Linked DNA regions of Rhinolophus ferrumequinum. The protein of the gene in region 4 interacts with the protein of the main gene of each other region in a pairwise test. Links are inferred from orthologs where the notes say so. Each region holds a gene or a part of one and is shown on either strand. Other genes may lie near its edges.

Region 1 (6,947 bases), on a different chromosome or scaffold from region 4:
TGTGCAGTTCCTCCTCCAGTTTCAGCGTGCGGTCCCTGAATTCCAGCTGGCTCCGCTCCAGCTCCTGCCGGTGGTGATGCTGTAGCCGGGCCAGCTCCTGCTTCCAGTCCTCGGCCTCCTGCTGGTGTTGGCGCTCAAGCTCCTCGCAGGACAGACGCAGGGAAATATACTTCTCCTTGAGCTCTGCAAGCTGTTCCTGGGCTTCCTCCAGCTCCTTGGCCAGGTTGCCGTCTTTGCTGTTCTTGCTCTTGAGGACGACCTGGGCCCTCACCTTGTACCTCTCAAACTCTTCCTTCAGCTGTTTCAGCTCCTGTTGGTAGTAGAGCACGGTAGCCTTCTCCCCGTCAGCGGCCTCAGAGCTGGGCATTATCTCCAGGTCGCAGAGCTTCTCCACATCCAAGGTCACCTGGCTTTTCCTGGTCGCCACCTGCAGTAGCCTCTTCAGCTTCTCCATCTTGTCCTTCAGGACATTGACGTCCAGACTGGACTCCTCTCCATGGCTGTCTAGAGGGGACCGGCTGGAGGCTGCGAGAGCCAGCGTCTTGTTCTCCAGGTCCAGCTGCATGATGCGCTCCTTCAGCTTCTGGATGGCCAGCTGGTCCTTCTGCTTGGCTTTCTCATATGTGCCCAGCAGTTCCGACACCTCAGATATTTGGTTCTCCAGGGCTGCCACCCTCTGCTCTTCCAGCTGAGATTGCTGACGTCGTTGATCCTCTGCGAGGGCTGCCTGTAAAACAAGGAAACAGATGGAAATGCATCCAGAAACGCCACAAAGCGCTATGGCAAACTTTGAGAGCACCAGAGAGGACAGCCAAAGAGTCACAGAATGGGGATGGCCTGGCAAGAACGGGAACTGGGGATTTTTTGGTTGATCTGGGAGCTAACAAAAGTTCCTGTAACTTGCTTGCGTTCTGCTCACAGACACATGTTATACCAAACAATTAAGAACCTCTGCATACCTGCTCCTATTCTGGTTTCGTACTTCCATTGTCTCCTATCATACACCAAACTCACGTATAAAGAGTGCTTTCTTCATTTATCATGTGTTTCCCCAAATCTTATTATGGAATCATCTCTTCCAATATTCCTGGAAGATCAAAACTGAGTTGGACCTCTCTCCACACTGAATGGAGGCACTATAAAAATAGAATACCTTTCCAGAGTTGGCAAAATCTTGGCTGAAAGCCGTTACAAAAGGTCATTTCCTCTGAGAAAACTCCCTTTTCCCCCTTCAGCCATCCTTCCTATAGGCATATACCACTACCTACACATAGGCATACAGCTCCAGTCAGACACACGACCTTTTCACTGCATGTCTGCCACAGTACTGCTTCGCAGAGCACAGCGGGTAAGATGCCAATGCTAGATCTGTCTGGCTCCAACCCAGCCTACACTTAGAAACTCTACATCCTGTTGGAAACATGCTCTGTGGATACTGTCAACACCACATAGAACAGAATTTCCAACTCACCAATAAAACATTTTGCATCAAAAATTGACAGTGCAGCCACTGAGATCTATCAAAGGCGGAAAAACAAATATTTCCCATTTCAGGTTTAAATGACTTTTTGAAGGAGATGGAGATAATTACCTTCCTCATTTCCTGCTGCAACTGAGCCTGGAAATGGCTCTTAAGGCAGGCAGCTTCTTCCTGCAGCTGCTGCAGCCGGGGGTCTGGCTGATTCTTCTCATCCTGGAGAGCCTGCAGCTGACCTTTGAGCTCCTCCACCTCACGGGTCAGCTGTCGGGTCTGCAGTTCAAACCCTTCCATCTGACCAGCTGCGTATGCCCGCCCTGCCAGGGCTTCTCGGGTCTCTTCCAACCGAAGCTCCAAGTCTTGGCGCTGGGTCCTCTCCTCCTGCAGCAGTTTCTGAAGCTCACGCAGCATCAAGGCATGGTCACTCTGCTCCTGGGCCCGATCGTGCTGCTGTGTGATAAGTCGGGCTTTGGTTTCCGCTATCTGCTCCTGCAGCCCCTTCAATTCTCCCTCCAGACGGCCCCTCTCTTCCTCTGCCTTTTTACTGGCATCCTCTAAGTCCTGTTTCATCTTCTTCTTGTCAGCCAGGTAAGAAGCTTCCATGCGGGACTTCTCCTGGGTGACTGTAGCCAAAGCGCTGGTCAAAGTAGCCAACTGAGTCTTCAGCTGGTGCAATCGTTTGTCCACCTCCCCACCTGCAGACGGTCCATCCCCACTGCTACTGCTAACACCACTCTCCGACCCGCTGGCCTCTTCCGACTTTGGAGGTGGTGGTCCACGGGCCAGTCGGTCATCTTCTACCCCAAACTCACCCTTGGTGCTAGTGAGACTGGCGACAGTATCCAAGCTAGTGGCGGTCCCAGTGCTATCCTCGCTGTGAGTGGAGCATCGGTCATCCACGTTGTCAGGACAGGTGAGGCCTGGAGGCGGGCCATCTGCCAGGCCCACATCCGCCTCTTGGGATACTGACAGCACCTTGATGCTGGCCTCTAGCGCCTCTTTCTCTTTCAGTAAGCTTTTATAGGCGCGAACCACATCCTTGAGACGTGCCTGGTACTGGAAGAGCTGCTTCTTCTGCGTCTCAATGGTCTCCAGCAGGTCCTTTTTGCTGGGGCCACCCCCGAAATTCATTCCAAACTTCTCCATGAGGATTCAGAACGGGTGGTTCCACGTCAGCGTTGGGGCAGCCCGGGAGACGGTCGCGGGGACGCTGGCGGGCGTTGTGGTCCCCGCGGCCGCACACCCGCTCCTCCCAGTTGTCCGAGACCGACGCGGGGAGGCGGGGCAGCGGGCAGAAGCGCCACCGGGTCCGGGGTACGGAAGGCGGGGGCGGTTCCCACCTAGAGGCGGGGTGACGCGGGCAAGAGGGGAGCACACAGCCAGGGCGCCCCCGCCCTGTCCCAGAAGCTGCCCCGCGCTCCCGCCCGCGCCGGCCACAGCAGCCCCTGCGGGACCTCGGCCCACTGTCCGCCAGGGGTTTAAGCGGAGCGCAGCCCCTTCGCGACTTCCGAACTACAGCGGCCCGACAAGGGCGCTTCCGGGTCCGCTGGAAGTGACGACAGCAAGACGCCGCAGGCTCCGCCCCAGTGGCCAGAGGAGCGCGGGGCCACCCCAGCCGGGGAGTGCTCGGCCGCGGCCTGTGGGGAACCTGGCGAGGCTTTCTCTCCCCGGGAAGAGCAGCACAAGCCAAGCTAAGGACGCGAGTGATGTTGATTTCGTGAGGTTCACCCGAGCTTGCCTTCAGGCTACGATCAGCGAGGGACAGGGGGCGACGTCGCACTGAGTCCTTACTGAACAGCTCGCGACGTGTCTCCACTATTTGGGAGCTCAGTACCTTTGTCCCTAAAGAGCAACAATTAAGACTCTCATTCAAACCACGAACACTGCAACCCTTGCTAGTACAGTGTTTGGCACCTGGAAGGCGTATAGTATAATAATTATTAGCACCCTTCCTGAGTTCTGCTGAGTTAATGCAACAAATGTTTGTAAAGGGCATCCGTATGGCCAGGACGTCGGTCTTTAGTGCCAACTATATTCCAGGAGCTTTGCAAGAGTTTTGGTATGTAGTCATTACAATAATTCTGCTCAGTGGGTATTGTCAGCACTGTTTTACAGATATGGAAACATGAAGCACAGAGACGTAAGTAACATGCCCAAGGTCGCACAGCTAAGTTTAGGGATGCTATCCAGATCAATCCAACTCTCAACATACCAAATGCTGTGCCAGGTGATCACTATGATGAGACAAGGTCCTGCCCTCACGGAGTTCCCATCTAGTGAAGAACCAGGCATGCAAACACAAGTCCTGCCATCGTACCGGTATGCATAAGTATATTCAAAGTGATGTGGAGGAAGTCCTGTCTAGGGGAGGCAGAGAAGGCTCTCAGAGAAAATACTTTGGGATGTGAAGGATGAGTAGTGACTACCCATCTAACTAGAGATCAGGGAAACAAGCATTCCAGGCAGAGGGAAAAGATTACGAGGACTCCTGTGGCATCAGGGAGGCTGGCTCACCTGGAAAGCATTGAGAAGCATCTCGAGGCAGTAGTTTAGGGTATGTGAAGGAGGTGGCAACAGACGGGGCTGGCCTAGGAGGTAGGGATCCAAATTAAGGCATTAGATTTTATCTTTGGTGATAAGAAGACACTAAAGGATTTTAATCACAAGAGTGGTGTCATCAAGACTTGTATGCCAGGGTGGCAATAGCAAGGGGCAGGAGAACTGTGAGGAGACTGTTGCAGTCATGGAGAAGAGATGGTACTGAAATATGGCGGTGACAACAGTGATAGAAAGAAAGAGGCTAATAAAAGAGCTGAAGATGTAGAACTGACCTGACTTGTTCATCGCTAGTTGTGTTATTATATTGGGACTCTTTTAAATGTATTCTTCGACCTTGTAAAAGTCATCCTAGGAATGCAAGTGTGATTGAAGAGTAAAGTCATGCACTCATACCTGATGCCCAAAGTCTGTTCTCTTTACAGACTTGCAGGTCTGGATGGGGCAGGCCCTGGAGCTCTGTTCAGACCCAGTTTCTTAGTGGCCCAGGAAACATCCAGCTGTTTTATACAAAACATTCAGATACAGTATCTCATCATTTTAATCTTTACCATAACCTCATGAGATAGGACAAATATCAGTCTCTTTTTATAGATAAGAAAATGACAGCTTGAGAGGATTGTTGAAGGCAAGCCTTCAAAAAAAGGCAGAACTGAGATTTGAACGGAGGCCTGGAACAATGGCATACAGTAGGCATTCAATATTTGTTGACTGAGTGAATGAAGGTTCTCTGCTTCCCAGCTCACCTCACCATGTCCAGTCCATAAGCAACTTGGCTCCAGAACAGGCAAAACACCTGTCCACGCTCCACTGAGCAACCTACCAGTCCAGTTCAACCTAACAAGCATTTGTTAAGCATAAGCCTGGCATGATCCAGTTTTTGCCATAGAAGATACTTAAATGAATTCCAATCTGGCTCTTTCCCCTCCAACGCTAAGATGAATGGGGAAATTACTGGAGAAGCTCTTCGGGCCTAAGGAGGCAACCACATCCTCACATCCTGGATAGGTGTGCATTAATAATGCAGGCTGCCAGGTCTGTGGCAAAGAGAGGAAGGACTTCAGAAAGGCTGTCTGGGTCCAGACTGAAAAGCTTTGCTTCCTTGCACACCCGGGCGAGTCTACGGTTCCTGAACCACCTACTGTGCTCCAAGCCCCTCCCTCACTGGGAGCTGCGGGGGCAAAAGGGAGGTCTTAAGACGACTGCACGGAGCTTACGCACCTCTAAGAGGGTGGTGCACACAGTCGAGGCTGCCAGTTAGAAAGAACTAAACCGGAGACCAGAGTGAGCTGGACGCAACAAACCAAAGCCCTGCGGCGGGCCACGGAACATGGGGGTGGGGGCCGCTGCGGAGCACTGAAGGCTTTCCTCCGCCCCCCTCTGACTGCCGGTTCAACAGCCACAGATGTGCCAGGCGTGCTAGAAACGGGGAGACCCTGGCCCTTTCCCTCTTTAAAACCGGCGCGGGACCCAGCCAGGCTGCGGAGATTCGCTCAGCTTCGGCTTCTCCCGGAGCCCGAGGCGCGGGGCGGGGCGGGGGGCGGAGCTAGGAGCGGAGCGCGATGGGGGCGGGCCCGCCGTGACGTAGGGCGGGCCGCGACGCGCGGAGGCGGTGGCGGCACCTCCCACTGCTGCTGCGCCCCATCCCCCCGCGGCCGGCCGGTTCCAGCCTGCACCCGGTGTCCGTGTCCGTGCCCCCTCCCCGGGCCCCGCCATGGGCCTCACCGTGTCCGCGCTCTTTTCGCGGATCTTCGGGAAGAAGCAGATGCGGATCCTTATGGGTGAGGCAGATCAAGCGCGCGGCCCGGACGGGAGCGCCGGCCCCCGCGCAGCCCTCCCGCCCCCGCGTCCCTCCAGGCCAGCTCACCCCGCTTTCTGACTCTGAGTCACCCACCTTCTAAACCCCTGGGGCCACTGCTCTCGGGCGGGTCACAGTCTGCAGCGCCGCTCCCGGGGCCTGAAACCGGGAGCTGCGGGCCTGGGTGGGGTGACGCTCCCTCCGCCCCAGCCCGGATGGTAAGAAGGGAGGATTCCGCCCTTGGAGGCCACTTTTAAAAGGAGCGCGGTCCTCCTCCTGTACCCCTTACACCCCCAGTCCTCGCCCGCTTCAGGGGCAGCAGTTGGCGCTCATCACCCGGACTGCCCTTAAGGCCCGGAAGGTAGATAACAGCGCGCACCTGGAAGCTCTCGGGCTCTCCGCCCCTGTCACCGTCAGCTGTCCTGGCCTCTCCCCTTCCCTGGTCTCTAGGGGGCTCCCTCGCTCCCATCTCCATCCCTATGCCCCTCTTCTTTGCAGTTGGCTTGGATGCAGCTGGCAAGACCACAATCCTGTACAAATTGAAGTTGGGGGAGATTGTCACCACCATCCCCACCATAGGTGAGTCAGAGGAGGTGAGATTGGGAGGAGCTGGAGCGTGGCGGCCAGCTCAGGGTCTCCTCCTCATTCTGCGTCTCCGTGCTGGGACCTGACACCAGATACAGCTACCTGAGAAGTGGGTCACATTATCTTTACCTGCTGGATGGTGTGAGGAGGGGTGGATGTGACCTAGCCCCGCCCTGCCAGTTGACTGCCAGTCTTCTGGACTTCTCTTCCCTTAGACCTTGATCATTGCCTTCTGATTTGTGTCCCTGCTGAATGCACTGTAGTTTAGTGAGTTCCTTCCAATCACGACTTTTTCCTCATATTTTTTTCCAATTATCTTCAGGCTTCAATGTGGAAACAGTGGAATACAAGAACATCTGTTTCACAGTCTGGGACGTGGGAGGCCAGGACAAGATTCGACCTCTGTGGCGGCACTACTTCCAGAACACTCAGGTGGGGGGCGAGGGTGTCTCCCCAACCCCAGGGGAGGAGGTGATAGCATTAGGAAAATTGTTGGCCTAGGCTGGGCCCCTGGGCCAGGAAAAAGCCTTA
Region 2 (7,390 bases), on a different chromosome or scaffold from region 4:
AAAAAAACAAAAACCGGTTGACATCCTTGGATGACTTAGTTTCTTGTTAAGCCCTACTTTCCGAATAACTAAAGTAAAACATAAAACATCAAAACCATATAATCTTTCTGCTTTAATCCCCACAAGTTTCCTATTTTCAAGATACACAGTATATGCTGTATCTTCCAATAAACTGTTGGCTTTCAGGGGGAGGGTCTAGAGGAGTTGGGGGGGACTGGCAACAGGGAATGTCTTAGTCACTTTTCTCTCCTTAACAACATATGTAGCCAGGTATTCAATCATTATATGCTGAAGCAATACTCAACGTTAAGAATTTTTAAGGGAAGAATCAACTTTCTAATATAATTTAATAGACAGTTCAAAACACTGGGGGGACAATGAAAAGACATTCCTACCTCTCCTGATTTCCACTGGATTAGCACCTTTACTAATCTTCTCAAAGCCTTCCTTGGCAATAGAGCGTGCCAGTACAGTAGCAGTTGTGGTGCCATCCCCAGCCTCTTCATTTGTATTATTGGCAACATCCTGAACAAGTTTAGCGCCAATATTTTTATATTTATCTTTTAAGTCAATCGACTTTGCAACGGTCACACCATCTTTTGTAACTTTGGGACTCCCCCAACTCTGTTCAATAATCACTGTTCTTCCCTACAATTTCAGAGAAAAAAAAATGTGACAGAATCACACACTCAAAGTACTAGTTAGCTTAAAACAGAAAGAGCAGTTTTAATAATAGGGTAATTACTTGAAAGCCTCAACATGATTTTTTTTTTTTTAAATCAGATCTGCAGCATGAATCTCAAGGGCAAGTTCACTGATGTTCTAAGTTTACAGAAAAAATGACCTCTCTATTGCGAAGGGCACAACTCTGGATGAAGAATTATGTGAGATAAAAAAACCTAGAGACTAAAAGATGACATTTTATGAAACAAGAATACAGATAAAACAATACCAATTTGGTAGATTATAATGAAATTCCAGCTTATTCTTCACATAATTTCTAGTTAAGTTTTATCCAGTGTCAGCTATTTTGAAATTAATGCGAACACTTACTTTTAAACTTGCTTTGAAATATACTTATTAAAATACTAACAGCAATGCAAGCACAGTACTCTCTTCCAGGGTTGTTCGACATTAAATCTCAAACATGGTGCAGAGTATTGGCAGCTTTTGGATTTGAAACCAAGTAGCTATTTGGGAGGCATGCAAATGCCACATTTTATACAATTTGGATCACTTTGATATCTGAAATGTGCACAACCTTTGTCTTCCTCAAATTATTACCTTTCAACTCACCAATCTCTTCATGTTAAATGAGACTTAAAATTTTAAATGTGCTTTGGAACAGAAGGGACAGCAGAAAAACACTGGTAAAACTAGCACCTCCTGAGATATTATAGGAGATAAATTATATTCTTCCCTCTATGCTTGGTACTAACGGACTGGAGAAGAATCCAAAAGTTAACTCAAGTAGGCAAGCAAGATTAATTCTACCTTGAGTTTAAGGATCCACCTTGAGTTATGAGTTACCACTGGATTCTACGACACATTGTATAAAATCTCACAAATTTGGCAGAAGTTTAAGTTTTAAGGCCATTATATATACGCAAAAGAAAAAAAGATTAACCCATAATGTGGAACTCACATGTAAATTGGATTCTCTCAAAAAAGGATACCCACGTACTGTTCTATAGTTCAGTGTGACTATTTGCCATCAGTAAGTTATTCCCTAATTAGAGTACTATTATAAATTACAACAATAACAATACTGATACCTTTGGCCCCATAGTAACGGCTACAGCATCGGCTAAAAGGTCCACACCTTGAAGCATTAAGGCTCGGGCATCTGCACCAAACTTTACATCTTTGGCATACGCCCGAGTGAGATGAGGTGCCAGTGCCCTGGACACTGGCCTAATCTGGCGAAGGACTTCGTGTAATCGAAGCATTTCTGGGGAGGAGGAGAAACAAGCATTTATCATCAGTACAATAGTAGCATTACCCGAAGCAGGTTACAACACCTGTGCAACAGAACAAGAAATGTTAGCCGTGAGCTAGGTTGGCCTCTGCCACCCACCAAACCTGGGCCACAGAAGGCGCCCCAACTACAGACCACCAAGTACCAGCGCAAGCTTGCAAGGGCTGCCCCCACGCCTGACCTACCGCACTGGCAAAAGGCACACCCACCTTCTTGCTCCTGGCCACCTACCCCTGCCTCTCTAAACAAGTTAATCTTTTACCGCTAAAAGGGCCTTCAGAGCAAACCCATTCCAAACGTGCCCCTGAGAAAAGCCTGCAAGAAAGGGGCAGGTCATAAAAACGGTGGCCGGTGGAGTAAAAACATTCCTGACGGTGCAAAAATCTGCTGAGTAAAATGTGTCTTCATGTATCCAGTCGGGGTTACTGTATCTGAGCAGTCCGCCAGGCCCCGATGCTGGCGGCCGGGGCCCCACGTGTCTTTTCATCGAGACGCCCCGAGCAAGGTCAAGGGTGGAGGGGCCGAACCCCGCTGGGCCAAAGGCAGTCTCCACGCGGCTGGGACTACCTTCCCCGAATCTCTGCAGCCGGCCAGGAGTGGGCTGCATCGGAGGGCCCATGTGAATACACTCCCCAAATTCCACACACACTCCTGAGCAAGCCCTCCCTCCTACGCCCTGCCCCGGCGAGCGATCCCTGCCGCACGTGACGGGCTCCCGCATGGATCCGCGAGGCCTGGGCCAGCGGGCCATGGCCTCCGGCACTGGCGGGAAACTCGGGCTCTATCCCGCCGGCCCACTCAGGCAGGACCGCAGCGGGGGAAGGCCGGCGCCGGGTCCGAGGCGCCTGGGTGACATGATGCGGGGAGGCCGCATACCTGCGGGGCAGCAGCACGACGTGCGAGCGGCAAGGAAAGCCGTCGGCGGCGAGTGAGGGACAGAGTACAGGGCGCACACGGCAATGAGCTTGTGTCCCCTCCCTCCGCCGCTCCCCCGCCCCGCGGCACAGCGTGTGCGGGCGCCTCCCACCTCTTTCCCAGGCCCGGCCCGGCAATCAGCACGCGCTGCGCGCCAGCTCCGCCCCTCCCTCCCCGCGCCGGGCCGGGCCAGCGGGCTCAGCCCTCTCGAGCCGGCTTAAGCTAGTTCCCGGGCTACGCTCGGTTCCAGAACTTTCCGGGGAGCGACGCACTCTCTGTGGGTCAAGGGTCAAATAGCGTCATTTCCGGGAGGAGGCGAAGGGCTAGTACTTTCACCTCCGCAGGCGGCCTAGAAAAGCCTAGAAAGAGCTCCTCTTTTCTTCCGTCTCCCGGTCGTTGCGTCAGTGGCCTGCGCAGAGCCCCCGGGGACGAATCGCGGCGCGGGCCGCGGCGGCCGCCCTCTTTTAAGGGGAGGGGCGGGTGGCTGGAGCGAGCGCGCCTGCGCCCTGGGCAGCCTTTTCTAAAGTTCACGTGTCTCGAAAACCGGACTGCAGGTCTCTCCTTGCGGCCGCGGCGCGAGAGCAGAGTACGAACTGCTGCTGCCGGAGTCATGGTGAGTCCGCGTGGGCTGGTGCCTGGCGTGCCCGGATGGATCGGCCTGAGACAGTTCGCGTTGGGCCTAGTAGGAGGGATAGGGGGTCACCCAGGGGTCGGTATCCGCTCGAACCCTGGAGAAGCCAGGTCCTGTCGACCTTTTCCTCTGCCGAGGGTTCTTTGCACGCGCGTGTGCGGCGGGCGTGTAGGCTAGGGGGCGGGAACCCAGATGCACGCGCGGTGGCGGACCCGCTGTTCCTGCAGGGCCTGTGTAATGTAAAGAAAGCATGGCTTTAGGCGGAGAGATTGACCTCAGTGTGTGCTGAACATTTTCAGAAAAACCTAAGGAAGGAAAATACGTGACCTTGGAATAAGCTAAGGTTGACTGTAAAGCTCGTCTGGCTGCTGACCAGAGGAGTAACAATGACCCTTAACACACATAGGGAATTGGAAATTGACTTGGAATATAGAGCAGAAAGTTCAGAACGTTCAGTGGGTTTCGTGAACGAGTAATTGAGTTGGGCCGTTATCTTGGAAAGCCACATGCGGTGTTTGATAGCGTAATTTACGATGGCATTGCCTGTTCAGAATATAATCGCATATTCTTTTTGTTTCAAATCAAACATTTCTCTCTCTACAGGCAGGACAGGCATTTAGAAAGTTTCTCCCCCTCTTTGACCGAGTATTAGTTGAAAGGAGTGCTGCAGAAACTGTAACCAAGGGAGGCATTATGCTTCCAGAAAAATCTCAAGGAAAAGTATTGCAAGCAACAGTAGTAGCTGTTGGATCCGGCTCTAAAGGAAAGGTAAATGGGGGCTAAAATGAACTATTTTTTATGTGAAATGGACAGAAAAATAATTATTGGTTATTATTAAAAATAGCTTTTTAAGTAGCTTATTTTATTTTCACGATCATTCCCTAGTTCAATCACGTCTAATTGTCTCTTTAATGAAAATGATTGTAAAATTGCTTATTTTATATGATAGAGAATTCGAGGATATTAAAACTACAATTTATGCTTGAAGATAATTGTGGCGGCTTTTAAGAATTGAGGGGAAATTTGAATTCTTGGTCTAACTTCTAACTCTGAGATTGTGCTAGTCTTTTAACTACTTTCACCTTGCTTGGCATACCTATGAAAGGAACTGGTTGGACTACCCTCCCATATACTTTCCAATTAACTGGTTAGATCTCAGACCTCAAAGTGTCAGGCAGAATACACAATAAAATGTTGGGGTCAAATATGTTAATTGCTCCAGGTGCCTCAGAGAAACTTCTAGAAAGGAGCTATCCTGGAATCAAAAATAGAAAGCTTTTGGGGATTGGGCACAGTGCTTCCATCCCTCTCCCCAAATCTGTATTTTGGAGGAAAGGAAATGGAATCTCCAAAGAAGTATGTTTCAAATTCAGGAAATTTGAAAAAAAAAATTTGTATGCTGAAGTTAACCATGACCATGTACACATGGTTTTAAAAACTAGTTTATTTTACATAGTCCATAGGTTATGTTAATATTTAACCATTAAAAAATTAGCTTAAGTTAACTTGGCTTAAGTTAGCTTTCCCAGTATAACTCCTTGAACTTTTACACTGAAATCAGGTTTCAGTTTAAGCCACTGTGTAGGCATTATTTCAAAATGTAACTCTACAGTGATATTTTTGAGTTAAGAACTACAATTGTATAAATTATAACACTACCAAGTTCTTTAACAGTTGATTTGAGTGAGTACATTTGATTAATAGAAGTTAGCTGTAAATATTTGGTGAACTAGATGTCTTTGCTAATAAATATTCTTAATTTCTTAAGGGCGGAGAGATTCAACCAGTTAGCGTGAAAGTTGGAGATAAAGTTCTTCTTCCAGAATATGGAGGCACCAAAGTAGTTATAGATGACAAGGTGTGTAAACTTAATAGTTTTAAAAAAAAGTTAAGTATTTGCTTTTGTCTTTATTCTTAACTAACGGTTTCTCTATTTGCAGGACTATTTCTTGTTTAGAGATGGTGACATTCTTGGAAAGTATGTAGACTGAAATAAATCACTACTGACATGGCATCACGTGAAGCTGCCCATTCCACTGAAGTTCTGAAATCTCATCATGTAAATAATTTCCATGTCTCTTTTGTAATAAACTAATAATATCCAAAGTAATGACATCTAGTGTCTCTTAAAATTTAGTTCCACTGTACTGATACAAACATTTCCAAATAAAAATATACAAATAAATGGTTAATTTTTATTTAGTGATTTAAGATGGTTTTAGGGTTCTCTAGTTTATACTTTTTTGCTTTTTCTCAAGTAACCTGCAGCAAATTCTGGGAAACAAGGCTTTAATTTTCACACTGAATTTAGGTTGACTCCATAGGTAATTGATGCTGATACAAAGCCATGGATTTACACTTACTTTTTTTTTTTTTTTTTGAGAAGCAACAAGGAAATGAGATCCAAAAGAATAGCTGTAGCTGTTGAAGCTCTTGATGTAAGAAACAACCAAACCTGTAGAGAATTTTTGTAAGTGTTTTATTAGAGCCAAATTGATGACGTACACTTGGGAGCAAGATCTCAAATGTTCCCCACATGGTTAGTTTGCAGTTCCTTTTAGGCATTTGAGATTAAGGTGGGAACTGAGGAAGATTACATAAGGTGGGAGAAAGCAAGCTTTGGATTACAAGATAGTTAAGACTGCTCTCTTGAGGGTGGTCCACTTTAGAAGGGGGGGGGTCTGAAGAGAGGCATTTCAAAGATGTGTACCTACCTAGATGCATAGAAACAATGGACTGGGCTTGTTTAAAGATTAACCTTCTACTAAAGAAGATACATGCCTCAGACATGACTACTCACTATGGCCTGCCCAGTTAGGAATTTATGATTAGATCACTGTGAGGTTACTTTTAATAGAACCCCTTTTTTCATCCACAAAGCTACTCTACACTGCTTCAGATAAAAACCCACATAGTGTTCAATTAGGTGAAGGAAAGGTATTTATGAGAAAGGGAAGGGGAACAACTAACTGCATGAAAAGGGAATTTCTATAGGTGCGGATAAGCTAACAGTGATGCTAATTCTAAAGAATGTTCAGTCTGGCAGTCATGTCTGCTTTCTTGATAGCTTTGCAAACAGTTGTTTGGAATGCAGTGCTGCTTTAGGCTCAGTACAAAGGTTATTTTGCCCAGTTTTAACATTCCAAAGGTTTGAGGAGTAAGACTTCCAAAGCAGTTCCACTGGGGTGGCAGCTCGGACTTCAAAAAGTACTAGCTGTGTTTGTTATTTTTCACAATGTTACAGTACAATGCAAGTTGGTGGGAAGGGCATTGTTCCACACAATCATTTAGGGTCCCAGACTCCATCTTGGAGTCCGCTCCACAGAGTCAAAGGAAGTGTTTATGGTCCAGGTCTAGAGATGGAGCACTTCATTCCTCACTAGTGTTGATCAGGAAGTTCTAGACTGATTGGTTTAAAATTCTACTCTTGGGTGGTTGAATCATGACAACATCTCAAAGGTACACATTTTTTAAAAAAGCAACATTATAACAATATAGAACAAGCTTCTATTGAACTACAGTTACTTGTGGAATCCAGTGTCATCTCAAGTTTTACATAATTTGGCAAAAAATTCCAAGGCAAGATAACAATTAACATTGGCTGAGTGCCTTGTATATGCCGGGATAGGCACTGTCGTCATAATTACAGCTAACGCTTCAGGAGCATTTTCTAGGCACTGGCCACTGTTGTAGGTACTTTGTATATGTCAAATGATTTAATCATTCAACAACCCTATGAGCTAGGTAACTATCAGTCTCGTTGCAGAAGATGAAAGTAAGGTGCAGAGTGGTTAAGTAATAACCAAGGTCACTTAGTGGCAAAGCCAGGATTTGGACTTAGATTATCCACCTGGTGCCGCTGTCTA
Region 3 (7,645 bases), on a different chromosome or scaffold from region 4:
CCAGGCTCACGCTGGGAACACGTGTGGCAGTGGGTACCCACTTGCATGGTGTCACAGAGGTGAGTGACAAACAGGACACAGGCCAAACCAGGGCAAGGCTGCAGGCCAGGACCCCTGTGGCCCCACGCACGGCTGTACGGGACGTCCCCAGCCTGGCAGTCCATGTCCCCAGCCCAGTGGCACCATCCGCGCCCGGCCTACATGCTCTGTGCTCTGGTGGGGACGGGCCTGTCCTGTGATCCATGCACTTCTGTAGCTGCTGACGGCTTTGGCCATGACCCATCCGAGGCCCTCGGGCTCAGGGGCTCCTCTTCCGGAACGTTCTTGTTCACGGCCTTTGCTCGTTTCCTCACTTTGTTTTGGAGTTTCTGTCCTCTTCCTGCTAAGTGGCAGAACTCCTTGTATATCCTGAGTTGTTGCCAAGCAGCAGCCTACCCGTCTGTCTCCTCGTACCTGCCCCTAAAGCAAGGAAAGTCTGTGAGACGGATCCTTTCAGGGACTTTGCTTCACCTTTGTGCTTGTACTTTGTATCTCCCTGTTTGGCCCCAGAAAGATGCTGGTCAGCCAATGACGGGTATGACTTACCACGTGGAAGGCAACCTAAGACAGGTGGAGGCCCGTGGGGACCCACAGGAGAATCCATGGGGTGGATAGAGGTGGGCACAGCACCCCCCCTCGCTAAGGAGAGCCTCTGCCTCTGTGGCTGCATTCCTTCCCACAACCTGCAGGGGAAGAGATTCAATGGTGTGCTCTCCATCTATTCATATGCATAAAGGTTTTGTCCCTCGGGGAAGTACAGACATCCTGAGACTTATGGTCCAGCTGCCTGCAGGCAACGGTGATTGGCTTGAATCAGTTTCCTATTATGATGTGTGGGATTCACAGATCTTGAGATTGACAAGCTTTATCTCCTTTACTTCCCCACCTAACTAATAAAGGTACTGTATAGGCCTCAGTCCTTGAGGCTGGAGTCCCTTGGTCCCGCTTACACTCTATTCATGGCTACGATCTTTTCTTAACCCTGCGCCGCCCTCCTTGCTCCCCACACACTGGGTAACGGTCCTTTTGTCCCTGTCACTCAAAACGTCTCACTGTGCTGCACTCAGCCTGCTGGTGATGATGTGAGGTGACGCGGGGCCTGTTTGATGTGTGAGGTGAGTGACGCGGGCATCGTTCTCTGTTGGCCTTCTGCTCCGGTGACCCTGGGTGGCCGAGCCGTGACGATGTGGGCTAGGTGTCAGGAGCAGATGGTGTCGCTGGTTGGGGACCCAGACGGTCAGACCACAGCTGGCCACGTGTAGCTGAAACCCCGGGAAGCAGCACCACAGGTAAGGAAAGGGCAGCTGTCTTCTCAGGTCCTGTCATGGCCGTGGGCCGGGAAGCCCTGTTTTTGACACCATCAAATGCACCATTTTTTGCCAGGTGGTCTGTGTGTTGCAGGGTTTGTTTGGGGTCTCCTTCCCTGCCAACTACCAGGCCACCAGGCCCATGGGTGGCTCCATATCAGGAGCCTGGTCCAATCCTGGTCACTTGGTTGGTGCTGTCATTGTACATCAAATACGCTCGAATGGAAAAGTCTGTGCCTACGCCTCCCGCTCCCCTGGCCATCAAGGCGTTTTCCCAGACCTGCTTGCTCTGTGTAGCTGTGGAGCTTTGCTATGAGCTATGAGGCCCTGATATCTGGACAGCTAGCTCCCCCCACCCCACCGCCACACACACACTTCTTTTTAAGGCTCACTTAGTTATTCACGACTTTTTCTTTCCTAAATTCTAGAGGAAGTCTATCTAGTTCCTGAAAAGCTCTAACGGTCATGTTGAATAGGATCACACGGACCTCACGGGTTAACGGGGGAGAACTGGTCGCTGTGTAGTACACAGCCCCCACCTCCATCCCCCCCGGGAACATGGTCAGCCTCCACAGCTCCCCGACACAGTCTGGGTGGCTTCTCGCTTGAGTTAAATCCTACACACTTCATTGTGTCCCTTGCTGTCGTGAATTATTTTTTTCTAATTGTTTATTGTGGGTATCAAGCAAGACTATTAATTTTGTTTTCATTTTTTAAAATTGAGGTGAAATTCACATGGCATAAAATCAACCATTTAAACTACGTTCCAGTGGCCTTTATACATGCACAATGTTGTGCAACCACCACCTGTATCTGGTTCCAGAACCTTTTCATCACCCCCAAAAAAAGCCCGTCTGCATTATGTAGTCAGTCCCTGCCCCCACCCCCAGCCCTCCGGCACCCACCAACCTGCTTTCCGTTTCTGTGGATTTACCTGTCGTGGATATTTCGTATAAATGGATTCATACAATATATGACCTTTGTGCGGCATCCTTACAATACTATTGATGTTTCATTGAGAAATATAACATAAAATTTACCATTTAAACTATTTCTAAGTACAGTTCAGTGACATTAAGTGGCTTTCACGCTGTTGTGCAAACATCACCTCTGGAATTTCTCATCCTCCCAAACTGGACCTGTCCCCATTAAACACCCACTCATCCTCCTCCGCAGCCCCTGGCACCACCAGATACTTTCTGTCTTTATGTTTGACTCCTCTTATATGCCTTTTTTACGTGGGATCACAGTGTTTGTCCTTCTGTGTCTGGTTTATTTTGCTCAGCACAATGTCTTCAAGATAATACTATTGATTTTTGCAGGTTGGTCTGTTATTCAGCAATGTTATTGGACTCTTATTCTAACAGTTTGCCCATCAATTCTATCGGTTTTTCTAGGCAGATGATCATATCTTTTGGCAAGTAACATCAGTTTTTTTCTCTCTCCTCTTACAAGCCTTACGCCCCTCCTTTAGTTTTCTTCCCTTACCTGTTGGCCAGGACCTCCGATACGGTGTCAGGCAGTAGCCATGATGTGGGGGCGGCCCTGACCTGATTCAGCTCCTGAAGACAACGCACCACCGCTTCTCCACTTAGTGTAAAGTTCACTTTGAGGTTTCTCTGGAACTTGAGCACGTTAGTGATCTTCCCGCCCATTGCTAGTTTGCCAAGAGCTGTTTGTAAAGTCACAAATAGGTTTTGAAATTTATTAAAAGCTTTTTCCACATCAAGCGAGGAGATCACATTTTCTCCTTTAATAACCAGGCTTGCATTCCAATGACAAAGCCCATTTGATCACTGTGTATTGTTTTTAATACATTATTGCATTTGATTAAGAACCAAACCCTACCTCCCCTTCACGGCAGGTCCCAGATGCCCAGGCCCACCTTCCCACAGCACTACCCAACCATCCCCTGCCCTGGCCTCCCCTTAGCCTTTGCTCACCTGCAGGAAGGAAGGTGGCAAAGCACAAGAGGCAGGGAAGGCTCAAGACAGCACAACTGAACACCAGGCCTCCAAACACATTGGAAGGCCACCCTCTGCCCCCCATGGACAGCTGTGAGCACCACACAAGTCCCTCCCCTGACCTCCTAGGCATCAGAAGGCCCCCTGGAACTTGAGAGACCACCAGTGGAGTCCTTGTAGTGACTATAGGTTAGCGTGTTGTGAATTCTAATGGCATCTTAAATGCTTACACCATTCTCAGGAAGGAGAATGCAGGCAAAGGGAACAGAGACAGCATTTCAGAAAACAAATCATCACATGAAGGGGAGCAGGGAGCTTGTCTCATCTTTTCCAGTGGGAGACATGACAGGAGGGGCTTCCCACCCCACATAGAGGACACAGAGGAACTGACACGTTCCCTTCCCAGGCTCTGACCACCCTGGGGACAGGAGCAGAGAGGGAACCCACCATCCCCTGAACAGTCCGTGAGCTCTGACCAGGAGCAAGTCGGTACTGGGCACTGAGGCTACAACAGCAAAGGCACGGACCAGGTCTCGGGTGATGGGAGGCTTTTGTCTGGGGGCAACACGTGGACTGAACAAAGGAAAGGAGGTGGTGGTGAGGGTCTTGGGGAAGTATTCCCAGCAAGGACAATGGCCTTGGGGCAGGTATTGGAAAGCGGGGGTGAGAGCCAGCGGTGGGCAGGTGCAGGGAGCCGGTATGATATAGGGAACAATTATGTCCCGGGGGTAGGTATGGCTGGCCATGGGGCAGGGGCAGGGAGTGTGGGGTCTTCCCAGCTGGCCAGGGCAAAGGATCAATGTGTGGGGGAAACCACAAATGTTAGGAGTTGGCAGAGGATGAGATGCCCCCATCCTTGGCAAGAGTGACAGGGCAGCGAACGAAGGCCAAGAGAAGACATGGAATGACGAGCGGTCTGGGCCAGAGAGGGTTGGGGGACATGGTGCGGGAACCACAAGCACGTCCCCAGACAGCCAAGGGATCAGAGGTGTTGTCTGTGCCCCGGGCAAGCACCAGGTCAGAGGCCAGTGATCTGGAGGCCCTGGGGCCTGAGAGCAGGGCGGGTGTTGGAGCGGCACCCCCCACTGGTCTCCACCTGGAGACCCCCTGCCCACTCCGGTTTTCCGTCCTGCTCTGCTTGCAGGGACATCTCAGATGTCCCGAGTAGAACAGGCAGCGCAACCATGAGGCTCTTTCAGCCACGGGAAGGCCAGGGACATCGGGGGATGGACTTCCCGACGTCCAACAGCGTATGGTGGTGGAGACACTGCCAGGCAGCTGGGGAGGACCACCTCGGAGCAGGTCTGCCGAGGTGTGTGCCTGACACATGTGAGCGTGTGCACGTGTGTCTGTGTGCGTGTGCAAGGGCATGCATCTTCCATACACACGCCACCAGGGGGGTGACTGAGGACCAGGTCCTTTGGCCGCTGAGGACACCGTCTGGCCCTGGGCTGGGAAGGCAGTGTCTGGAGAAGCCTGTCCAGGTCCCAGGCTATCACAGGTTCAGGGAGCCTGGGGTAGCTGCAGGGCCAAACCAGGTAGGCAGGTGCCCCTGCCCCCAGGCACCAGGCCCCTTCAAGTCCCCAGGAACAGGCGTGGGGGCCAGGAGGTCCTGAGCAGATTAGCTTGGCTCTGGCTATGGAGCAGGCCTTGCCCACAGCACACACTCAGGTGAGCTGTTTCTGTAGCCTCCTCCGAAGACCAAAGGCTGCAGCTCACGGTAGACCAGCCACCCCTGTCCTTTCTCCCCAGAAGGGGAGGGACACTTGTGATGCCTCGTCAGGTCAGCACAGGTCAGCACGGGGAGCTGACAAAAGAGGCTTTTCCTTCTGGAATGAAATGTGGCTGAGAGGAGCCCATGAGCTGAAATCTGCGACAATCCCCAGCTCCATTTGAGAGCTCTCCTGAAAGCTGGCAGTCGGCGGCACCATCTCTGGGAAGTAGACGCTTACCAAAGGGGTTGGCAGTGAGCGGGTGGTGGGAGGCAGACCCCTGGCCGCCCACTGTCAGGTGGGTGTGAAGAACACCAGCAGGGCTGGCCCTCGTCTACCATGACCACTGCTGACACTTTGGTGCGCTCCCTACAAACTTTCTGCTGTGCCTCGATGTAAGTAAATAGAATGTACATATATGAATATTAGGTTAAAAACCAGCTGTGCTCTTTCCACCCAAGACCATGGCATCTCCCCTTTATAATCACATCTCACGGACGTGGCTTCGGAGCTGTGTGTCGTGATTTTATCCCGCCATACTAAGGTCAGACAGCCAACGTCCCGGACAGGTGGTGGCCACGCTGACTTCACAGATGAGCCACAGGGAGGCTGGTTGGTCATCACACGCCAGCCAGGAGCAGGAACTGGGCCCCTTTGGTGCTGCCCCTGGGGACCCTGGGTCCCCCCTGTGGGCTAACACTCCAGGGAGGCCAAGGGGACCCTGCTGGGGGTCCCCCTCAGGCCCCCCAGGACTGGGGGGCCTCCTCAGTGATGCCCTGTCCCGCCTTCTGCTCACAAACCAACAGCAGCAGCTCTAGGGTCTGTGACGGGCTTTTGCTGATGTGAAGGTGGCTGTGTGGTTCATATTTGTACCAGGGAATTTGGGGACTGTCTTTTGCAGGCGAGTGGCCCTTGCTGGGACCAGGCTTGTCACTCTCTGGCTGGCAGTTCTCTGGAGGACTGTGGGTCAGGCTCTGAGGCCCTGAGTCCCAGGACCCGGACTGCATAGGAGCAGATCTGGACCGGTGGGCGGCCCCAGCTCTCAGAGTCCGCACCTGCCCAGCTCCCAGAGGGCAGGGCTGGACCAAGAACACAACCCCTGCCAGGCCTCCTTGGCCCCGGGCAGCACGAGGGCCGAGCAGGGTGTCCTCACTGGAATCCGAGGCATGAGTCCTGGATAAGCACTGACCAGCCCAGGGCCAGACCTGGGGGCCCAACCCAGTGCAGCCAATGGCCACCTGCCGCTGAGCTTGGGATGGGGTAGAGGCACGGCTGTGGCCCAGGGGCCAGGCCCCTTCCTGGCCCCTGAGTCCATGTGGCTGCGGTCCAGGCCAGGACTTACCTCAACCCCCAGGGCCCCCTCCAAGGTGAGCAAGGCCTGGGGCTGGTGCCACCCGGAGAGGGCAGCAGAGTCCCCAGGGGCTCCGGGTGGGCACACGCTACCCCTGCCCACCACTATTCCTGAGCTCTGGGGCAGGTGGCTGCACTGCACCCCAATGTTGGGCTAGCAGTGGGTCGGGGGCCATTGATAAGCTGGGAGGTCTGCCCAGCCAGGCCGAGAGGCCACCCACCATCTCAGGCCTCGCTGAGAGCCAGCCTCCAGCGTCTTTCCGGAACACAGCCCCAGTACGATGGGGCTCCCTGGCGCCTTTTATCGCACCATCAGCACGCAGAGGCCCAGGCGTCAGGACACATCCTATGCCAGCACAGGCCCCTGGCCCAGCTCCCAGCGCCAGGCTCCCACGCCCGCTTTACAGGGGACAGCTGTCCAAAGCACCTTCTCCGTGGCCTCCTGCCAGGTGGGACGTCTTTGCTTTGCGGCTCCACGAGGCCCGCCATCCTTAGGCACAGCTGCCCCTGTTCAGGGGCCTGGGCACCCACCTCCGCCCGACTCCACGCCACCCACCCTTCTTGGGCCGGCTGGCGCCCCAGGTGCTCACAAGCCTTTCATGGCCTTCGTCCTGGTGAGCCCTCAGTTGCCAAATACATATTTACCCAGGGTGGAGACTGGTGCCCAGGATTGAGTATTAAATGGATCTAAAGTCGGGGACCCTTTGGCAGCTCTGTAGGGACCCAGGCAGCCGTGGGGCTGTGGGGGATGGTGGACCCAGGGTCACGCAGTGTTCTGAGCTGCCCTGTCCGGACCGGAAGGCAGAACTGACCCCTCAGCTGACCTGGCATGGGGCGAAGGCCGCACACAAACCAAGGAGGACAGAGGCAGTGGGAGAGCCTGGGAGGTGAGGGCCACACCGGAGGTCAGCCAGAACGTGACAGGGTCCAGGCAGCTGGTGAACAGGGTGCAGGAAAAGGGGCGTCCTTGTCGCCCGCTGACACCGAGCTCAGGCGGCACGCTGTGTTAGTTACCTGTGGCTGCATGACAAATGTCCCCAAGTGTCATGCCTGAAGACGTTTATCAGCTTTCGGTGGCTGTGCAAAACGAGGCCACCGTGGTGGTGTTGGATGGGTTTCCACGCGAGGGTGCCCCACGCTGCCCACCATGGCTGGCTTCCCCCAGGGTGAGCAGTCCTACAGAGAGCGCCCGAGACAGGCCACAGCCTTTTTATAACCACCCTCGAAAGTGCAGTCCCATGAGTCGGGAGGGGACTGCACAGGGCGGGGGTCC
Region 4 (7,179 bases):
GTTTGACCAGCAATCTTTATTATCTTAAATAGTTCCTTAACCTCTCTGGGCTTCATTTTTTTTTTTTTAATTGGGGAATATTGGGGAACAGTATGTTTTTCCAGGATGCATCAGATCCAAGTCAAGTCACTGTTTTCAGTCTAGTTGTGGGAGGCACAGCTCAACTGCAAGTCAAGTCATTGTTTTCAATCTAGTTGTGGAGGGCGCAACTCACTGGCCCATGTGGGAATCGAACCGACGACCTTGGTGTTATGAGCGCTGCGCTCTAACCAACTGAGTCAACTGGCTGCTCTGGCTTCAGTTTCTTTAACTGAAATCAAAATATCTATTTGAGAGGATTACCAAGAGGTCAAAAGGAAATACATGTAATGTACCTAGTATAGTGGTCAATAAATAATAAATCCTTTCCATGGCCTCCCAACATCTAGAGAGAGTCATCCATCACATTAGACATACCTCAGTCATAGCACATTCCTCTTGCACTTTTTACCTGGTCATTCCAGTTGATCTCAATTAAATGATCACCCAGTAAGTCTCAGGTCTGAAACTGGATCTTCATCTAGGTTTCAAAAAAAATAAATAGACCACAATCTTAAAATGTTCAACCTCATAGTAAGAATGGTCTTGTGTTATTCCTAGAGCAGGCCTCCGTGGTACTAGTAAACACTGATCTGAAGCTGGACCAACTGAAGCTAATGGACTCCAATGCTCAACACCATGTGCCTTCTCTCTTCTCCTTTCCCCATAACTTTCCTCTCCCTGCCGGCAGTCTAAATCTATCATCATCTAACATCAATTCTGACTTCTGGCTTCAAAGGTAGAATATTCTTATTTGCAAGGGTACTGAAAAGCAGCACTCTCAGAGAAACAAATACCACTGAACACAAAAGGCAAAGGCAGGAAGAAAACTATCTCCTCAATTCTACCTGTGACCAAGTCCTCCCTTTTAGAGGACCATGCTGTAAAATTAATGCGCCAATAGTATCTAGCAGCCTTTCCCACTCAGACTGTGACAGGACACAGCTGGAACTTTGAGTCATCAGAAGAGACCAAAAGCTTACCAAGGCCAAAATAGAATCTAGCTTTAAGGAGTGTCATACCTAAAGTAAGACTGTGGGAATGGGAGTTGCAGGGTAGGAGTTGGTTTGTACATAGCATAAAAAACCAAGTGCAAAGAAGCAAAACACAGCTATATCTTCCAGCACTGTGCAGGTTCCCCAAGAGCCCTTTGGTAACTTGCTCTTTACAGGTCTGAAGTCCCTTTAACTGTACCCTTCGTTAGAATGTAATTTTTTTCACCACTTTTTGGGCAGGAAAGCTGGAAATAAACCATGGCAAGTGTCACACGTGGTGTCATATGGGGTCTCTGATCCCGCTCCCTGCATAAGAACGCAGGATATGGTGAGGCCAAGAAGGAACACCAACAGAGCCATAGATAGGGGAGTCATATCACTATATTCTCGCTGGCAGCTGGGTTGGACACACAGGAAACAGGATCCACACGATCTGCAACCTGCGGTCCGCTTCTCTGCCAACCAACAAACCCCACTTGCTAGCTGCAATCCGCGCTTGCTAGCTCAGCCACCATCTGCTGCTAGCATAGCCACGGCAGTTATATTAGTGGCCAATGGCTCACTGGTTACAGTTGATGGCCATCCAATCACAGTTGATGGCCATTTACTACCCAAACCAGCACCTTTCCACGTGAGGCCAAGAGCCTGGAAACTGCACTACTGGCTCTGTCCCCACAGCAAGTAACTATTCTTTTTGAAGTGACTCACATTAAAATCTGTAATTAGCTTTCTCAAAAGCATTTCCCATTATGGCAATAAATGGTATAGGCAATGTTTTCAAAGTCTCTGTGAATTAAATACAAAAGCTCTATTCCAAAAATGTATTAACATGCTGTTTAATAAGAAGACTCATGTTCCTAAAAAGAATTGAGTCTACCACAGATAAAGGAATGGAGTTAGGACTGGATATCATCTCGACCAAATCATTCTGCCCCAGAAGTTACATAAAGGGACAGAATTCTCCTCTCCCCGCTTTGAAGCAGAAGCTGAGGCAAAGCTTTAGTAAGCCACCTCTTCCCCAAGTTGGGGTGGGGTAGGCCGGGGTCTACTAAGCAATACTGAAAGTAAAAAAACAACTCATGTAGAGAATTGAAACCAATATGGGTTAATATCTGCACCGTGTTTAATATTATTACAGTTAGAACATAAAGTGGTAGTAGAAACCCTTTCGGATTGGTCTCTATGTTACGGGTCTCTCAGTCCTCCAACATTTACACCTTATCGATTTTCTTAATAGAATCAAATTAGACTGCATAAAGTCAGAAGCCTCCGGAATGAGCCTAATAAACCGGAGAAAGAATACTCACCTACCCCTTTGCATATACCCTCCCCGCTTTTGCTCCAAGTCTTCACTCGCCAAGCAACCTTCTCAGACTCCTTGACTCAGAAAAGTGGGGCGGGTCAGACCTGACCAACTCTCGCGGATCGAGTAATTACCTACAATTTATCCAGAATCCAGTCTACACCATGTATCATTCTAAGCTTTACATTTATTGTCCCACTTAACCTTCTCCACCACCATGCAAGGCAAGAATTACCAGCTGTATTACATAAATGAAGAAACTGAGGCGCTGAGACATTACATGAGAAGCCAAAGATCACAAAGGGCGGAGAGCCAGGACTGGAACCAGGTTTGTCAGGTCCCCAATCGTAAGACTGGAAGCGAACCCGTCCCAAGCGGTTCCTCTCTGGAGTCCCCGACAAGGGTCAGTTTGACCACTCGCATGGCCCAGGTGAAGCCAATTCCGGGGATGCTTCAGGTAGGGGCTCTGAGCGATGCCTCTGTGAACCTGGAGCGCCACTCACCTTCTTCAGCCGCCTCCCCCCAGCAGCAGCGCGCCCAGCCCCGCCGGCTCCACCGCCTTTGCCCCGCCTCCGCGACCGTTACCGCGGTGTGGGAGCCAGGCCTATCCAGCCCGAGCTCGTCAAAGAACCGCCCTCTGCTCCGCCGCCGAACGCCGGGATTTTTCACCGGCCGCCCGGGGAGGCTGGGTCAGCCCCGCGCCCTCTGGTTGGCTCCGCTGTTGGGGGCGGGGCTCACTATTAACGATGACGCAAGATGCTGTGCCTGGTTTGCCGTCTGCGTCTGCGTACTCCTAGCACACTTGTTACAAGCTCTGGCCTCGCAGGAGTTCATATCACTTGGCTGGAGCATCAACTGGCAGAAGAATTCAGAAATACACTTTTGAGGAGGTGAGGGGAGAGAGGCCCGGGCCTCCTGGCCAGCGCAGGCTGCCCTCCACACAAATACACAGGAGGTGACTGCGAGCTCTTGCTGCAGGACAGGTCAGCCTGTTCTGTAAGTTCCAGACCTAGCAGAGCACTGCAGCGCCTGGCATTTGGAGGACCCCAATAAGGGTTTGTTGATGACATTTTATTCTTCCATTCAGCATTTTCCCAATCTATGCAGTGTCAAGCCTACATCGGGCTCCAAAAATGCAGAGGTGGTTGACGATATGATCAAAGTCTAGTTAGGGAGAAGGGTATACACTTTGAAATTAAGATACAGTGTGGTATGATTAGAAAAGGGTGCTGTGGGGACAGAGCCAGAAGTGCAGTTTCCAGGCTCTCGGCCTCACGTGGAAAGGTGCTGGCTCAGGTAGTAAATGGCCATCAACTGTGATTGGATGGCCATCAGCTGTGGCTAGTTGGCCATCAGCTGTAACCAGTGAGCCATTGGCCACTAATATAACTGCTGTGGCTACCCTAACAAAAGATGGGGGCAAGAAGATGGTGGCTGGCACAGATTGCAGTTAGCACGGCGGATTGCAGCTAGCAAGGGATCGGTTGGCAGGTGGAAAAGCGGACAGCAGGTCGCACGTCATGTGAATCCAGCCTCCAGTGAGACTATAGTGGTATGACTCCCTTACCTATGGCTCCGTGGGTGTTCCGTTTTGGCCTAGCCACATCCTGCATTCTTATGTGGGAAGCGGGAGCTGAGGCCACGCAGGCCGCCCTGCGTGACAGTATTATAATTAAGCCTGGGCCCCTTTGATACAGCTCATATCTGCCCTCCCCAAAAATCTAACTCCCAAAGCATTTACAAATATAATAACTAAGAAAGCTGAATGTGGGGCCAGCCGGGTGGCTCAGGTGGTTAGAGCTCCATGCTCCTAACTCCTAAGGCTGCCTGTTGGATTCCCACATGGGCCAGTGGGCTCTCAACCACAAGGTTGCTGGTTCAACAACTCGAGTCACGCAAGGGATGGTGGGCTCCACCCCCTGCAACTAAGATTGAACATGGCACCTTGAGCTGAGCTGCCTCCCAGATGGCTCAGTTGATTGGAGCGCATCCTCTCAACCACAAGGTTGCTGGTTCGACTCCCGCAAGGGATGGTGGGCTGTGCCCCCTGCAACTAGAAAAAACTGCAATTGGACCTGGAGCTGAGCTGCGCCCTCCACAACTAAGACTGAAAGGACAACAACCTGAAGCTGAATGGCACCCTCCACAACTAAGATTGAAAGGACAACAACTTGACTTGGAAAAAAAGGCCTGGAAGTGCACACTGTTCCCCAATAAAGTCCTGTTCCCCTTCCCCAATAAAATCTTTTTTAAAAAAAAAGGAAAAAAAGAAAGCTGAATGTGTTGCATCATTGGAGAGGCAGAGGAGGAAAGCCTTAGGAAGTGTGCTAAGCTGGGATTTTATCCAGGAGGTAATAGGGAACTATAGGCAAGTTTTCAAAGGGCGCATAAAATGGAAAGGTTTTTGTTTGGGTGTCTTCAAGCCTAATTTTCTTGCATCCTGATATATAGGTAAAAACTGTTCAAACAGTCTACAAATATGATCACTGCTTTGTTTTTTCTACAAAAGGAAATCAATTCAATCAGCTCTATTTTTCAGTTCAACAAGTTGAGGATATACAAATAGGGTCCCTGCCCAGCATTTTTAAAAACTCGTAGGGGATTAAGTGATCCAAAAATTCCTAAGGGAAAATCTAACGTCCATATACCAGGCGTCTCATCTGCCCACCATTGACGTTGCATTTTATAACCACATGGTGTCGCTGTTGACAACTTGTATTTTCCAACTGGTCAAATGACGCACGTCAGTGGCGATGCAGTTCCCACAATGGCCAACAGGGATCTCCCACGGCAGGAATCAGCCAAGGCATCTCCCACAAGAAGGCCTCCGTCACAGCTCTTACTTTCAGGCCCATACTCAGCCTTACCTAGGCAACAGGGCCCACTGTGAGTTTGATCTGCCCCATACAAACATATCCTGAGTTCCAAAAGGGAAAAGGGGTTACCATAATTGGGAATTGGCACTGGGGTGGATGCTCCTTGAATCACATGAGTTGGAAGGTGGAGGCATGTCTACTTAAGTAAAACAGTCCAGTAAGGGGCGAGAGGACAATGGATGCTAGATGGATAACCAGTATCCTTCATGATCTTCAAGCATGAGAAGGCTGAATACTTTCTATTTCCTAACACTAGACCCTTCCTCTCATTGCTCCTGGATTTTGGGTGTAGCAAGTAGAGGGGAGGAAGCTCTAGACAACTGTCCTCTAAAGGAATTCTCATCTTAGGGACCACCATCTTATGACTGTCCAGCACCTCTCTTTGCTAGAGAAGGGAAAGACTCTGTACACAAGTTCAGTCTTCAGCTCAGCATCCTGCTGCACTGGTCTTAAAAGTTTTGTATGGGCCTCATCCACTTATCAGGATTGTGATGGTTCTAAACACTTATTTAACATCCACTCATTTACAAGAAATTTATAAAGTGCCTGTTATGTACTAGGGATTGAACTAGATGCTGAGTTTACAGTGGTGAGTAAACCAGATGTTGTTCCTGCCCTCATGGAGTTTACAGTCTAGTTGAGAAGAGAAATGTGAAACAAACACAAATAAGCATATAATTGTGACAAGCGCTATGCAGGAAGAGAACAGGGGTGTGTGGAGGAGGCCTTTCTGAGGAAATGAGATTAATGAGGTGTGATCAAAAAATACAGTGAATGCTGCTGCTGAGTGCCATCCAACGGAAAGGCAGGGATCTTCAATACGGAAAGTGGCACATCGAATCTTAGTAACAGTGTGACAAGTTTCAACTTGTTTAATGCAGTCTGTTGGGTGTGAGCTATGGTTGAGAGAAGGTGTGTTTCAAAGTGTGCCGTAAATCATCCTCCATCATGACAACGCTTCGTGTCACACATTGCTTCTGGTACAGCAACTTCTGTCAAATAAAAACATTACGGTGTGTCCTCATCCACCTCATTCACCAGAACTGGCACCATGCAACTTCTGGCTCTTCCCCAAAGTCAAAATGACCATGAAAGGTAAATGTTTTGAATTGATTCAGGACATCAAGGCAGCCACGACAGCGCAACTAAGGACACTCATGATAGAGGACTTCCAGAACTGCTTCAGAAAGTGTCAAGAACAATGCGATAAGTGTGTTCGAAGTGAAGGGAGTATTTTGAGGGGGATTAATGGCAATGTGTCTTTTACTGTAATAAATTTTATTTAAACATTCACCATATTCTTTGATCACACCTCGTAAGCTGTGATCCAAAGCCACTCTTCATTTCGGCTTACTGCTTTCCTCTGTGCTTGGCCTTCTCAGTATAGATTTTAGCTTTCATTAGCAATTAAACAGATCTTTTCATTTCTAAACTTCTAAACTGATTCTCAAATTTTCTCCTGGGTATAGAACTATCAGGTTTCTTCCCACCACAAGGAGTATGTCAAATATGAATGACATTGGGTGATGAATTCTTTAAGATTCTTCAACTCACAAGTCTTTTAGACTTAGGCTCCTTTTTTACACTAATAATTTGTTTCTGCGTCCCACATGAGAATTTGAACTCCTGGGGACATGGATCATATCTTACTTTTTCCATCACCTAGCATAGTCTCTGGCACATAGTTGATGCTCAATGCAGTGTTGAATCGCACTATTAAATTTGAGTCAGGTTTATACAGGGGGCATTCATCTTCAGTAGCCATTTTCTCATGTGAAGAACATTAAACAAAAAGGTCAAAGAAATAATAACAAATGCTCAAGAAGAACATTAAACAAAAAGCTCAGAGAAATAATAACAAATGCTCAAGAATCTATACAGAATAACAGTAGTTGTATTAATTGAACCCTTAAAATGTGCCAGGCTC

The links.
Region 1: the proteins of CEP70 (region 4) and GCC1 interact in binary tests that used the Homo sapiens proteins (3 or more experiments, as listed by UniProt). The two-hybrid records come from large-scale screens. The link is inferred for Rhinolophus ferrumequinum from reciprocal best matches to the Homo sapiens genes CEP70 and GCC1.
Region 2: the proteins of CEP70 (region 4) and HSPD1 interact in binary tests that used the Homo sapiens proteins (3 or more experiments, as listed by UniProt). The two-hybrid records come from large-scale screens. The link is inferred for Rhinolophus ferrumequinum from reciprocal best matches to the Homo sapiens genes CEP70 and HSPD1.
Region 3: the proteins of CEP70 (region 4) and TTLL10 interact in binary tests that used the Homo sapiens proteins (3 or more experiments, as listed by UniProt). The two-hybrid records come from large-scale screens. The link is inferred for Rhinolophus ferrumequinum from reciprocal best matches to the Homo sapiens genes CEP70 and TTLL10.

The regions. Positions count from the first base shown.
Region 1 is NC_046309.1:18,181,460-18,188,406, reverse strand, and holds the start of GCC1 (GRIP and coiled-coil domain-containing protein 1), read right to left. Parts: upstream 3,013-6,947; 5' UTR 2,624-3,012; coding exon 1,592-2,623; intron 728-1,591; coding exon 1-727. Other genes in the region: ARF5 (ADP-ribosylation factor 5), read left to right, coding at 5,748-5,814, 6,330-6,410, 6,739-6,848. UniProt on the Homo sapiens protein: Probably involved in maintaining Golgi structure.
Region 2 is NC_046291.1:33,113,023-33,120,412, reverse strand, and holds the start of HSPD1 (60 kDa heat shock protein, mitochondrial), read right to left. Parts: upstream 3,013-7,390; 5' UTR 2,855-3,012; intron 1,952-2,854; 5' UTR 1,950-1,951; coding exon 1,776-1,949; intron 649-1,775; coding exon 396-648; intron 1-395. Other genes in the region: MOB4 (MOB-like protein phocein), read left to right, coding at 3,504-3,506, 4,128-4,292, 5,293-5,382, 5,465-5,510. UniProt on the Homo sapiens protein: Chaperonin implicated in mitochondrial protein import and macromolecular assembly. Together with Hsp10, facilitates the correct folding of imported proteins.
Region 3 is NC_046292.1:316,945-324,589, reverse strand, and holds the start of TTLL10 (inactive polyglycylase TTLL10), read right to left. Parts: upstream 3,002-7,645; coding exon 2,835-3,001; intron 1-2,834. UniProt on the Homo sapiens protein: Inactive polyglycylase.
Region 4 is NC_046300.1:37,673,581-37,680,759, forward strand, and holds the start of CEP70 (centrosomal protein of 70 kDa), read right to left. Parts: upstream 3,011-7,179; 5' UTR 2,880-3,010; intron 2,870-2,879; exon of another isoform or gene 2,612-2,869; intron 560-2,611; 5' UTR 491-559; exon of another isoform or gene 457-490; intron 1-456.